Linked DNA regions of Oreochromis niloticus. The protein of the gene in region 1 interacts with the protein of each later gene in a biochemical or structural test. Links are inferred from orthologs where the notes say so. Each region holds a gene or a part of one and is shown in the gene's direction. Other genes may lie near its edges. The genes, in order: ran, nutf2 and ipo11.

Region 1 (3,753 bases):
CAAATTGAATTAACTGAATTGGAAAGGGGAAAAAACCTTTGAAACTGAGAAGATGTGTTTTGTGCTTTTCTGTTTATTATATTATATCAAAAACTTGACTCTTGTTGGACCAAAACCCTTACATTAAGTGAGTTAATGACTGTGTTTTTAATGGTTTATTAGGCTGTTGTTATACGGTTGTAGCCTCCATTGTAACTATTGCTGTTTGCAGTTGTGATGCAAATAAATTACTTTTAAATTTTTAGTCAATAGAAACAAAATAAATATAATTAAATATGGTTGTTCAGTGTTTACTGGATTATCTGCTTTTTTGAGTTGCTTAATAAATGAAAATGATTAATTAAAATGAAATGTTTTTATTGACTTTTTTTTTAAGGATTTTGCATTTTCACTGAATTGGTGTTTCAACTGACTTTCACCTGTGTCAAAATTAAAACGCACTTGTGTTTTTGAAGCCAGCTGTGGTAAACAGATGGTAGTTATAGATATTATTATTGTTGTTGTAGTACACAAAGAAAGAAAATAACTTTTCATTCACTGACTTTTGTGTGGTAAAAAGTGTACCAATATTACTTGGTCTGACCTACGAAGCATCTTTGGCTGTTAGTAGGATAACACTAAACATTTTGGGTATTGGGCTCTTTTGTCTGCCACATGTGCATCCAAAAGTTGTTCAAGGAAACGAGGACGTTGCTGCTATCCTGTGTTTTTTAACAAGTTACCTCAGAAATAAACAGCTCGTAACCATACACAGCTGCCCAGCCTTAGCTGCTTGTCTGTAGTGGGAAATTATGCTTTTCTAGCTGCATGTGAATGTCCTTTAGGGTTGGATAAGTGTGTTTAAATAAAGACTGAATGCTGAATCACGTTCAGTTAGGACCGTGTTGCTTCATGATGCGTTTTTGCCGCTGCGAGGGTCACATGATAAGGGCGGAAACTGACTCATAGTCCACGCTGAATCTCCCGCGAACGCAGCCATTTACTCTTTCCTCTCTTCGAAGTGTTACCGGTGAGTCTCTGAATTCCTCTCACAATGCGGGCTATCATATATTTCAAGTTTGCATTCTTTGGGGAGAAAAGTCAGTTAAAACAATGGGCAGCTTTAAATCTTTGTCTTGCGATTTTGTAGCTGTATCCACGTGAGGAATGGGGCAACCGGGGAAGGCCGGTGGTTTTTCTTATGCGGCTAACTAGCTGTTAGCTCGATAAAAAGAATGGCTTCCATGCTGTGCTAGCTAACAGGTTAGCATGCACGGCTATCCCTCATTTTTTTTCTGCTTTGTTCTTGGGACTCGCGCGTATTCCTGTAAATACATAGTCAGTATTTTTGACAAAATATATTGTGGATGCGTGGAGTTACATTCATGTGTAGGGTACTATTTAGGCTGGGTTTGACTTGAAGTGTAGCGTGGAACACATTAGATGGGCTTCCAGTCGGATTGTTTCAGTCGAACAAGAAAAAGTGCGCTCGCCCGTCGTGTGGCGCACTCAATCTAACGTTTTTAGCTTTCCTAGCTAGCAGCCGTTGGTGTTGAAATGCGCATTTAGAAGCGCGCTTTCGTAATTTTCCATTGAATGCAAATATACATTAAACACACAAAATGAATTAAACCTTTTTTCACAACATAGGTGCACCGTTACACGTTTACTCGTTACATGTGTGAACGTTAGCTTGGATGGAAAATGCTAGAAGTTATGGCTATGTAACAAGCTATGGAGTTTAGCTAAACGACAAAATCGTAGAAAACCGCTCAAAACACCAAAATAACATCTCAACAAATCATAGCTTATGTCATATTTTGTCTTCTTGAAATGCCATTTAAAGGAGTTGCTAGCACTGCTAGTTAGTGTTGACGGACAACGTGCTAATCAACCGTCCCGCCTCGTTTTATTTAACAGAAAAGTCGCAACCACGGCGGACTCAATGGCACAGTGTGTTCCGGTGGCGGTGTTTAAGGTAAGTGCTTGCAGTCTAAGATAAATTGATGTTCCATTTCTCAGCCTTTTAACTAAATGAAGCACCGCTGTCTGTGCTAACAACGGTCAATGTGGTGAACCAGTACCAACCAGTCTAGACTAACTGTACGCTCTGCATCGCAGTTGGTTTTGGTAGGAGATGGAGGCACCGGGAAAACGACTTTTGTGAAGAGGCATATCACAGGAGAGTTTGAGAAGAAATATGTTGGTGAGTACTCGCTTCCCAGGAAGGAAATCAGCTCATTCTTCTGGTCTCAATGAGTTAAAGATGCGGTGATAGATTTGAAAGGAGGATGTATGATGCCAAATGTGTTAAATGGAACTATAGGGAGCAACATGTCCTGCATGCCCCTTCCTCAGATAAAATATGACTGTCTTCATCACTGTTTACACCTTCCTTCTCCTTATTCATTATGTCTTTGCTTGAAATTTCAGCTACTCTTGGAGTAGAGGTGCACCCACTGATTTTCCACACCAACAGAGGAGCAATCAAGTATAATGTGTGGGACACAGCCGGTCAGGAGAAGTTTGGAGGCCTGAGAGATGGCTACTACATTCAAGGTGCTCCTCGCATCCTTCGCATGCTGCTCGAGTTTCACGTTTTTAAAATTCATGTACCTTGGCTTTAGCTGAACAATACGTTAATGCTTTCTTGCTTCCTCAACAGCTCAGTGTGCTATCATCATGTTCGACGTCACTTCTCGAGTCACCTATAAGAACGTGCCCAACTGGCATCGTGACCTGGTCCGTGTCTGTGAGAACATTCCCATTGTTCTTTGTGGCAACAAGGTGGACATCAAAGACAGGAAAGTCAAAGCCAAGAGCATTGTGTTTCACCGCAAGAAGAACCTGCAGGTAATAACTGCTTGCAAAAATGTGTATTTTTGAATTGCAGAAACAACTTTTGAGTTTTGTCATTTCTAACTGCTGCAAATTTTTCTATCTGCAGTACTACGACATTTCTGCCAAGAGTAACTACAACTTTGAGAAGCCTTTCCTGTGGTTAGCAAGGAAGTTGATCGGTGATCCCAACCTGGAGTTTGTGGCAATGCCTGCCCTTGCTCCCCCAGAGGTCCAGATGGACCCATCCCTTGCTGCTAAGTATGAGGAAGAGCTTCAAGTGAGTATCACTGTACAGACTCATTTGTGTGATTTAGATGAATTTATTGTAAATTTTACTTGAGCATCTTCTAAATGTGGAACAATCTGAGACTTGACTTTGTTCTTCCATATCCAGGTTGCATCACAAACAGCACTCCCAGATGAAGAAGATGACCTCTAACCTGTTACCTAGATTTGTCCCTCCCTCCTCCCCCACCTGTGGACAGGAAGTCGTTGGAGTTTTGCCCCCTTACTGTAAAATCCCTTTTCAGATTTTTTTATTTTTGAATTTTTTTTGTTTTAAAACTTAAGTAAAAAAGAAAAAAACTTGGTGGAAAAGTTGTGGTTCTAATTTCACTGTATGACACACACCCACCCTAGTGTTGTTGTTGGCATGGCAACGTGCTACTCTTCATCGTCGAGCACCCTCCATTGCACTTACCCAGCTCACATAATGCTGTTGTACGGTGTACTGGAAGCACTAAGGGGAGTAAACTTTGAATAAAAACATTCTCGATATAACACGGCCGTTTGTGTTGTGATTTGCCTGCACGCCAACGACTTCAGGTCACAGGGAGCGCCTCGTAGTTTAAAAAGTGGCTCTAGTATATTCAAGCATCTTGGTGAGGATGATTTGGTGCACAATACAGGTTCCTGAAACTCAGGTGGATAAAA
Region 2 (3,753 bases), on another chromosome or scaffold:
CAGTACTTATCTCTCGACAATCTTCATTAAATATGATGTAATGGCAAGTGGTCAATAGGCTTTAAATTCTTAATAGTGTTGAGGTTTTTGGTACAGGAACTAGACAGGATGTTTTCCCTAATACTGATATCATCTCCTGTTTCAAACGTTGGCTGTAAATGTGACTCAGGATCATGGGCAGCTGGCTAGCACAGGTCCTCAGCACCTTGGCGTTGATGTAATCAGGCAGTTTTGTGTAGCCTATTAATGGGAGAATTTTAGTATTTAAACATGTGTTACTTGTAGCTTGAGAGTAGATAGCAACACATGTAGTAAAATTAATTTCTTTCAGGACCAAAACAAGGAAAGCGGTGAGGCTCAGTGACGTTGTAGTCCATGCTCTGCAGAAACAGATAAGTTAATGTGCTGCTAATGGTAATATGTCCACCCCAGATAAGCACCTTTCTCTGCCAGTTTTATATTTCAAATGCTGATAGCATGTTTGAAAATGTCTTCCAATCTTTGACTGTTAAAAAATGCTTTGCAACCTAGGGCTCAATAAAAGATTCCCCAATGCCCTGATATTAACAGGGTTATTATATAATCTCAAGGATTTATTCTGAGAAGGTTCACAACCCATATGAGCTGCACTTCATTTGTAAAAATAATTCAGTAAATAGATAGATAGTTGCTAACTATAGAAACTAACTAAAATAGTAAGAGAATAGATTTATTTATTTCTGTGTCAGTGGTATTCATCAAGTGTGCATTTAAATGCCTTTTGATTGACTGTACAAATATAAGGAATCCAAGAACTGGCAACTGACAGTAACCCCTAATATTGAATAAAACTCAAACAAATTAGTATATTTTATTTAATTATCGAAACCTAATTTGTGCAATGTAGATCTGATGTTTTTAACAAACCAGGGTGTGTTGGTTTGTGGATCTATTTGCGGTGGCCTTTACTGCTGCTGACTGCAGAAATAAATCGTGTTTGGGTAAAAAGCTTTGCTTATGCGTTTTTTCTCAGTCTGGTGGACTCAGCAACCTAACCTAAGAGAACAATAAAGGCACAAGTTACAAATTACTAAATCTGTTTTGTGCTGCAAATTGATGTCATTTTAAAAGCTAATGTAATGTAAGTGTTCTTGCTGGACAGTGGTGACTGTAGCACATTTAATCTTTGTACATCAAATAAAATAAAACCATTTTTGACTTACCATTTTTATTGTCTGTTACTCCATGGGTTTTTATTGTTTTTTCACTTCAGAAATCATCAAAACGTGTGATTTGGAAATGACACACTTTTAAATAGACATATCTTTATATAGTATGTATCAGAATGTGGCAGTATTATGTCAAATGTGACAGACGAGCAAATTGAGCGTGTTTTGAGTATATACTACAATCCCCATAATGCATCGGGCCTTTTACGGCTTTTTGTACGTACCCTCGTAGCGGAGCAGACATTGCACTGTGCGATCGTGCAGCCGGCCTCGGCGTAAGAGGTAAGTTTTTATTACTAGTTTTTATGGTGCCCCCTTACAAAATAGTGAATGGAAACATGTTCGAAAACAAAAAGCGCTAGTTTAATCTGACATTTGAACAAGCCTGACGCGGTATAAGTTATTAAATCGGTTGCTATTGGCCGGTTTGGGGCTAACGACGGACACGCCTATGTAGAGTAGCTGCTTCGGGGTTCCAGAGCTGTGCGCGCGGGCCCGCAAGAGGTATGAACACTCAAAGCAGACGGGGTATTTTTAGTAACTGGTGAACAGGCTACTACCAGCTGGCCGATCAGCTAACGCCTGGAAATATAATTTATCTGACGCCTAACATTGGCTGGCGAGGAGACATGCTACGTATATGAACTGTCTGTGCTAGCACAGGCTGAGTCAACATTAGCAAACATGACACAAGCTAGCAGCAGCTAGTTAGCTAGAGTTAAGTAGTTAAAAATGAGCTTTTTCGTACATTAACGTTACTTGCTCATGTTTCCTCAATCTCCCTTTACTTCTGACTATATTTACGGGGCCCTGAACTACTTATGTGTGGTCGCAATTCGGGGTATGTTGCTCGCAGTCTACTGCTAATGTGCAGAGCGCTCGGATTGTTCCAGTAACAGCCGTGTATCGTTATGTGGGAGCACATGACTTGGGCTGTCAGTGTCACCCGAGCGGAGGGATCCGTTGCAGCAAAATATACTTTGGCTCATTCAGTATAAGTAATTTTAACCTTTATTTTTGTCAATGAAACAGGATCTATATGCTATTTTTTTGTGGTCTTTAGTTAAAAACATATTTTTCTTTTAAAAAATTTTAACAAAAATCAAAGCAATGTGTACTGTACAGTCTATTGTACTGTTCGCTGCTTTAAGAGCTTGATTCTATAAAACAACATCATCCCAGAATACTGTCTTGAATTATGGTAGTGAGGGCTGTCCAAGAGGGTTTTCAGAAATCTGAAGCTTATGTTGACATCTGGTGACTATAAATTAGTTTTGATATAAGTGGGAGGCTGCTGGTGGTGGTGGTGGTGGTGGTGCTGTTGTTGTTGTTGTTTTTTCTATGCATTGCCCTTTTTCTTATCTCATTACGTTTGTCTGACTCGCTCTCTCCCACACGCTCAGTGTGAGTTGCAGGGTGATTCAGGATGGTGGACCAGCCTTTGTGGGAGCAGATAGGATCCAGCTTTGTGCAGCACTACTATCAGATGTTTGACTCTGACAGATCACAACTGGGATCTATATATGTGAGTTGGACTTGTCTTATGTAGGTGTTTATGAGTAAACACTTGCTGTAATAAGCTCACTTTCCTTAATTTCGAGTTTGTAATCCTTATGATTTAGGATTTAGGTATTGTCCACTCAGGTCACTTTATGTATATGGCACATTTTAAAGTGTTTTACAAACACATAGCTTGCATAACAGACAGGCAGCATATTAAAATTTATAACTGAGAAATATGTCAGACAACAGTTAAAAAAAATAAAATATAGAAGTGGCAGACAGTTCGAGAGCCTAGGGGCAATATTTGCAAAGTCTTGGTCATTTTTAGATTTTATGTGAGAAAAGGACACCAAGAGAAGTTATTGTGATGATGACCTCAGTGATGTGATGTGGAGTTAAAAGATCTGTAATATATTTGTTGAGCTAATCCATAGAGGGCTTTAAAACAAATAATGTTTAAATATATTCAAAACTTTGCAGGTTGCCAGCGCAGCTTAGCTAAAACAGCTTTGCTTACTCGTACGAGTTGAGCGGCTGTGCTTTGAACCATTTGTAAATGAAAGAAAGTGCAATTGGGCAATCCTACACACAGGGAATTGCTGTAGTCCAGCTGAGAGGTGATAAAGGCATTGATAACTCTTTAGTTCTTTGGATACAAAACTAGTTTTCATTTGGTGATGGTTCTCAGTTGGTGAATGTTGTCAAGCGGCTTTTGACAAAATTCCTGATTTGATTGTTAAAAGTTAAGGAAATAAAAGCACCAAGATTTTTAATGACAGTGTCGACATATCTGGATAAATGAGCAAGTAACTCAGTGAAGATGTTTGTGGGGCTGGGAGGGCTGAATAAAATAGCCTCAGTTTTGCTGTCATTTAGTTCTAAACAATGCGACAAGACTGAGTCAGAAAACATGGTGAATGAAAAGAATAGTGTTTTCTAAAAAGTCCTTAGTTTTTGTGTTGATTTTTACCCAAACTCACTCCTGTCTACGTAGTAGCATGTTTCGTTTAGTTCACTTTTTTTTTTTTTTTTGGTTAATATG
Region 3 (3,753 bases), on another chromosome or scaffold:
GAAAACGCTACGTCCAGATGAACAGAATCAACTTTTTGGGACTTACAAACAAACAAACAAACAAGCAACTAAACAAAAACTGAACTGAAATGAGAAAGCCCACCCGGAAACGTACTAAAACTAATGTACTGAACTGAAAAAAAAAGATAATTAAAGGAAATCAGGAATTTAAGTAATCATGAAACTGTATATCTGAATATTGCATGGTCTCTATGCAAGTCTAAATAGATTAGATATATTAAACAAGACACTAAAATGTCCTTTAGTATGTGCTTGGCACTATCAAAAAGAATAATAATATGTCCTACTATTCTTATGCAGATGATACAAAGTTGCGCTTTTTATTTTCTTTAATCATCTAACTACTGTTCACAGTTTAATAAGCTGCACTGATAATATTAACTGATGGATGTATAGAAACTTTTCAGAACTGAACAGAGACAAGACAGAAAAATTTGTGATTACACCAAAAATGTCAGATACAGAATTTTGTCCATGTTTATCTTCTTCTCTCTGAACACAGTGAGCAAGTCAGGAACCTTGGCATTATTTTGGAACGTGATCTCAGTTTGGATAATTATACTAATAACGTCACCAGAACAGCTTTCTACCACTTAACAAGTGTATGAAAAGTTAGAAAATATATTTCTGAGACTGACTTTGAAAAATGGTCTATGCATTCATATCAAGCAGGCTAGACTACTGTAATGATCTGTTTGCCAAATCATCAGTAGGATTACTTCAGCTTGTTCAGAATACAGTGGCCAGAGTCCTTACAGGTGCATTGAAATTTGAACATATTACCCCAGTACTGAAGTAACTTCACTGGTTCCCAGTTCAGGACGGAATTAACTTTAAAATCCTTCCTACGAAAACAAACAAACAAACAAAATACAAAAATTCAGCAGCCAGATTTTTTGGTGTCAGTATACTAAACAGCGATTGGCTCTCTTTACTCATGATGAAAGCAGCCTGCCGCTGATCCTACGTCATCAACACGCGCCTGCTGTTCTCCCCGCGCCATTCCTACAAGCGTGTGTTTCCAGCTCTCATTACATTACCACTGGCAGCGCTTTAGCAGCCACTGTTACAAGCACAGATTCTGTTTTCTACTGCTTTTCTTTTAGGTGAGTCCAGTTTCATATATCTTTGTAGAAATATTTAATTGGTTGCCAGGACAAATACTACTGACGGACGTTGGTTTGGATAGAATAAGTTCAAGCTTGCTAGCTAGCCAGCCCAAAGTTAGCTTTGGTGTTTTGGGGTATATGCACGATTATGAACTCTGCCCACCCGGTTCTTTAGTGAGTGAGTGGTATTTTGATTATACATGACACGCACTGGGGCAAGACTACAGCAAGTTGGACTATATTTGCGAATCCTACAGCAGTAGTAAAAGTCAAATGTGAATCGCATTAGTTTAAAATTTCTGCCCCACTATTACCCCACGGCACTGAGCTTGTTTTGGTTCCTTCTGTGCTTCAGAAACAAACTAACCCACTGCGTAGACTTGTTAGCGACTGCGTTTGTATAATCATAACAAATCCATGCTTTGACTAAAGGCCTGTAGACACATTTAGCTATATATAGTGTAAAATGTCCAGGCGTGTGTTACCGTAGCTTTAGTTAGAGGTAAATCAGTAAATGTACCGCTAGCCCCTGCAGTTACCACCCTAGCTTTCTTGTCAACCGAGCCAACATTTGACAGCAAGCTAGTGTTAGCGACAGAAGCTACGGCAAGTGCAAAACAATATTTAGCTGCCTACCGCTGGATTAGCCTCATGTGTTGGCAATTTACGCGTGGGTGATATAACCCCCAAATTATATCACGATATTCAGGTACTAGCATTTAGTGTATGTAAATTAAGGAGTATTTTCTATCCTTTCCCAATTAGCTGTTGTAGTGATTAGAGTGATTACTGAAAGAAGGTGCCAGCAGCTTTAAATCCAGTGACACAGCATAAGTCAAATGTAAGAAGAAAAGTAACACTTTTAGCTTAACAATAAATAAAGTATCTTAACCTTGTAACGCTTCAGAAACTGCAGAGCATCGTCAGATAATAAAACTAGAAAATATTTTCTGCGTGGGATGATCTCTCCTGTGTTGAGCTTTTTAACAGAATGCGAAACCCCTTGCTTTTCCACTGTGCAATTTTACGTCGATCTTTTCCTCTTCATGTAAACTAGTGAGGGCTACAACAGTGGTAATTGGAGTAATTTGTTTGAGTCACACATCATTAGGTGCTAGTATATCTTCCTTTGTAGCTTGGTTGTACTCAGTGGCCTGTTTTTGTCTCAAGTGGCAAAACAAGTTTGTTTATTCTATCTTCAGTGGGAACAGCTTTCTTTCCCTCTTTTGTGCTTTGTTGGAGGTTATTGAAGGTTATTGAAGTAGCTACCTAGGTACTAAATAGTAATTTGAGGTTGATACATTGGTCTTGCTCCTGCAGTCAGACTTGCCTCAGTTTTGTCTCATTACACTCACCAAGGAGTGTAAATAGCAATTATATCACGATATGACATTTTAATGTCATTTTTATATCATGTTATATATCAAACAGCCCCAACTGACAGCATAACAATTTAACTTAGGTTACAGATGAAACTGCTGTTTTCAAATTCCAAGAAATTAAACAGCCCATGTTTAAATCCTTGCCTTTCGGGTAAAGGTTTTCCTGTAGTGGTGAAATACTGGTATGCAGATTTGGATTGTGGATGTTGTGGATGAACAAGTTTAAGGTTGTGAATCTTACAGTGGTAAAAAAAAACAAAAAAAAAAAAACCCAGTATGTGATCAGAACAGAGCACATTCTCATACTGCATGTCACTGTAGGGAAAGCAAAAAACTGTCTAAGTGCTTTGTGTTTTTGGTGTTTTTTTTTTCTGGTAAAAGTTAAATCATGTGTCATGAAAAAGAGGTTTGGTATATTACAGTGGTCTACTGACTATCACCATTTCAATGATTTCTTTAACTAAAATACCCACCAAGAGTAAGCTAGATAATCCTGAAACAATCTTGAGATTCAGTTTCCACTCCGGAAATTGCCACTGAAACCATATTTAAATCACTTCAAAATAGTTTAAAATGTTGCTCTGTAAACCTTCTTTGTATAAAACAGCTGTCTATGACAGTGAGATTATATCAGTAGACAATGTCCTAGCAAACCAGGAAGCTCACACAGGTGAGTTTTCTAAATGGATGATATTTTATTACATTACAGTAAAAGATGAGCACGACTCAAACTCATAATGCTGCTGATTGGAGTCAATATGCAGATTCTGTGTTATCAGAATTTCTTTCAGTAATGCTTTAATAATGTATTCCACCTCACCAGAAATTTGTGCTATAACATCACTAACAATAGGAAAATAAGTTATTATATTAAAGCATATATTACCTAAATAAACATTTTTAATAGATGGTATTTAATAGGAACTGCCTGGCAAAATCACAATGCCGTCATTGTTCATCCAAAGGCTTATTTCATTTGCCACTACATGCTCACTTAAAGCCCTTCCATTAGTACCTACTCAGGTCAGCTCAGCAGTGCTCGACATGGTTTTTAGGTTTTTCATTAAGTGATAGTACCTAAGGTAAACTTGGTGTATACCTTAGGTACTATGTGTGGGCTGCCTTGGTAATCCCAAGTCCAACGGATGTAACCTTTTTGTATTTCAGTATAATTTTATTGTTTTGTTGTTAAGTTTCACTGCAGAGAGCGGAACATCTTTATTTACTTTTTGATCTAACCT

Evidence for each region.
Region 2: the proteins of ran (region 1) and nutf2 form a complex in vitro, tested with the Homo sapiens proteins (3 studies listed by BioGRID, with this or other methods). The link is inferred for Oreochromis niloticus from reciprocal best matches to the Homo sapiens genes RAN and NUTF2.
Region 3: the proteins of ran (region 1) and ipo11 form a complex in vitro, tested with the Homo sapiens proteins (2 studies listed by BioGRID). The link is inferred for Oreochromis niloticus from reciprocal best matches to the Homo sapiens genes RAN and IPO11.

The regions. Positions count from the first base shown.
Region 1 is NC_031966.2:22,420,029-22,423,781, reverse strand, and holds ran (GTP-binding nuclear protein Ran), read left to right. Parts: upstream 1-855; 5' UTR 856-1,009; intron 1,010-1,899; 5' UTR 1,900-1,924; coding exon 1,925-1,957; intron 1,958-2,100; coding exon 2,101-2,185; intron 2,186-2,412; coding exon 2,413-2,538; intron 2,539-2,644; coding exon 2,645-2,832; intron 2,833-2,926; coding exon 2,927-3,097; intron 3,098-3,214; coding exon 3,215-3,259; 3' UTR 3,260-3,600; downstream 3,601-3,753. UniProt on the Homo sapiens protein: GTPase involved in nucleocytoplasmic transport, participating both to the import and the export from the nucleus of proteins and RNAs. Switches between a cytoplasmic GDP- and a nuclear GTP-bound state by nucleotide exchange and GTP hydrolysis.
Region 2 is NC_031972.2:6,987,407-6,991,159, forward strand, and holds the start of nutf2 (nuclear transport factor 2), read left to right. Parts: upstream 1-1,354; 5' UTR 1,355-1,490; intron 1,491-1,584; exon of another isoform or gene 1,585-1,712; intron 1,713-2,611; 5' UTR 2,612-2,634; coding exon 2,635-2,733; intron 2,734-3,753. UniProt on the Homo sapiens protein: Mediates the import of GDP-bound RAN from the cytoplasm into the nucleus which is essential for the function of RAN in cargo receptor-mediated nucleocytoplasmic transport.
Region 3 is NC_031977.2:22,985,719-22,989,471, forward strand, and holds the start of ipo11 (importin-11), read left to right. Parts: upstream 1-982; 5' UTR 983-1,127; intron 1,128-3,753. UniProt on the Homo sapiens protein: Functions in nuclear protein import as nuclear transport receptor. Serves as receptor for nuclear localization signals (NLS) in cargo substrates.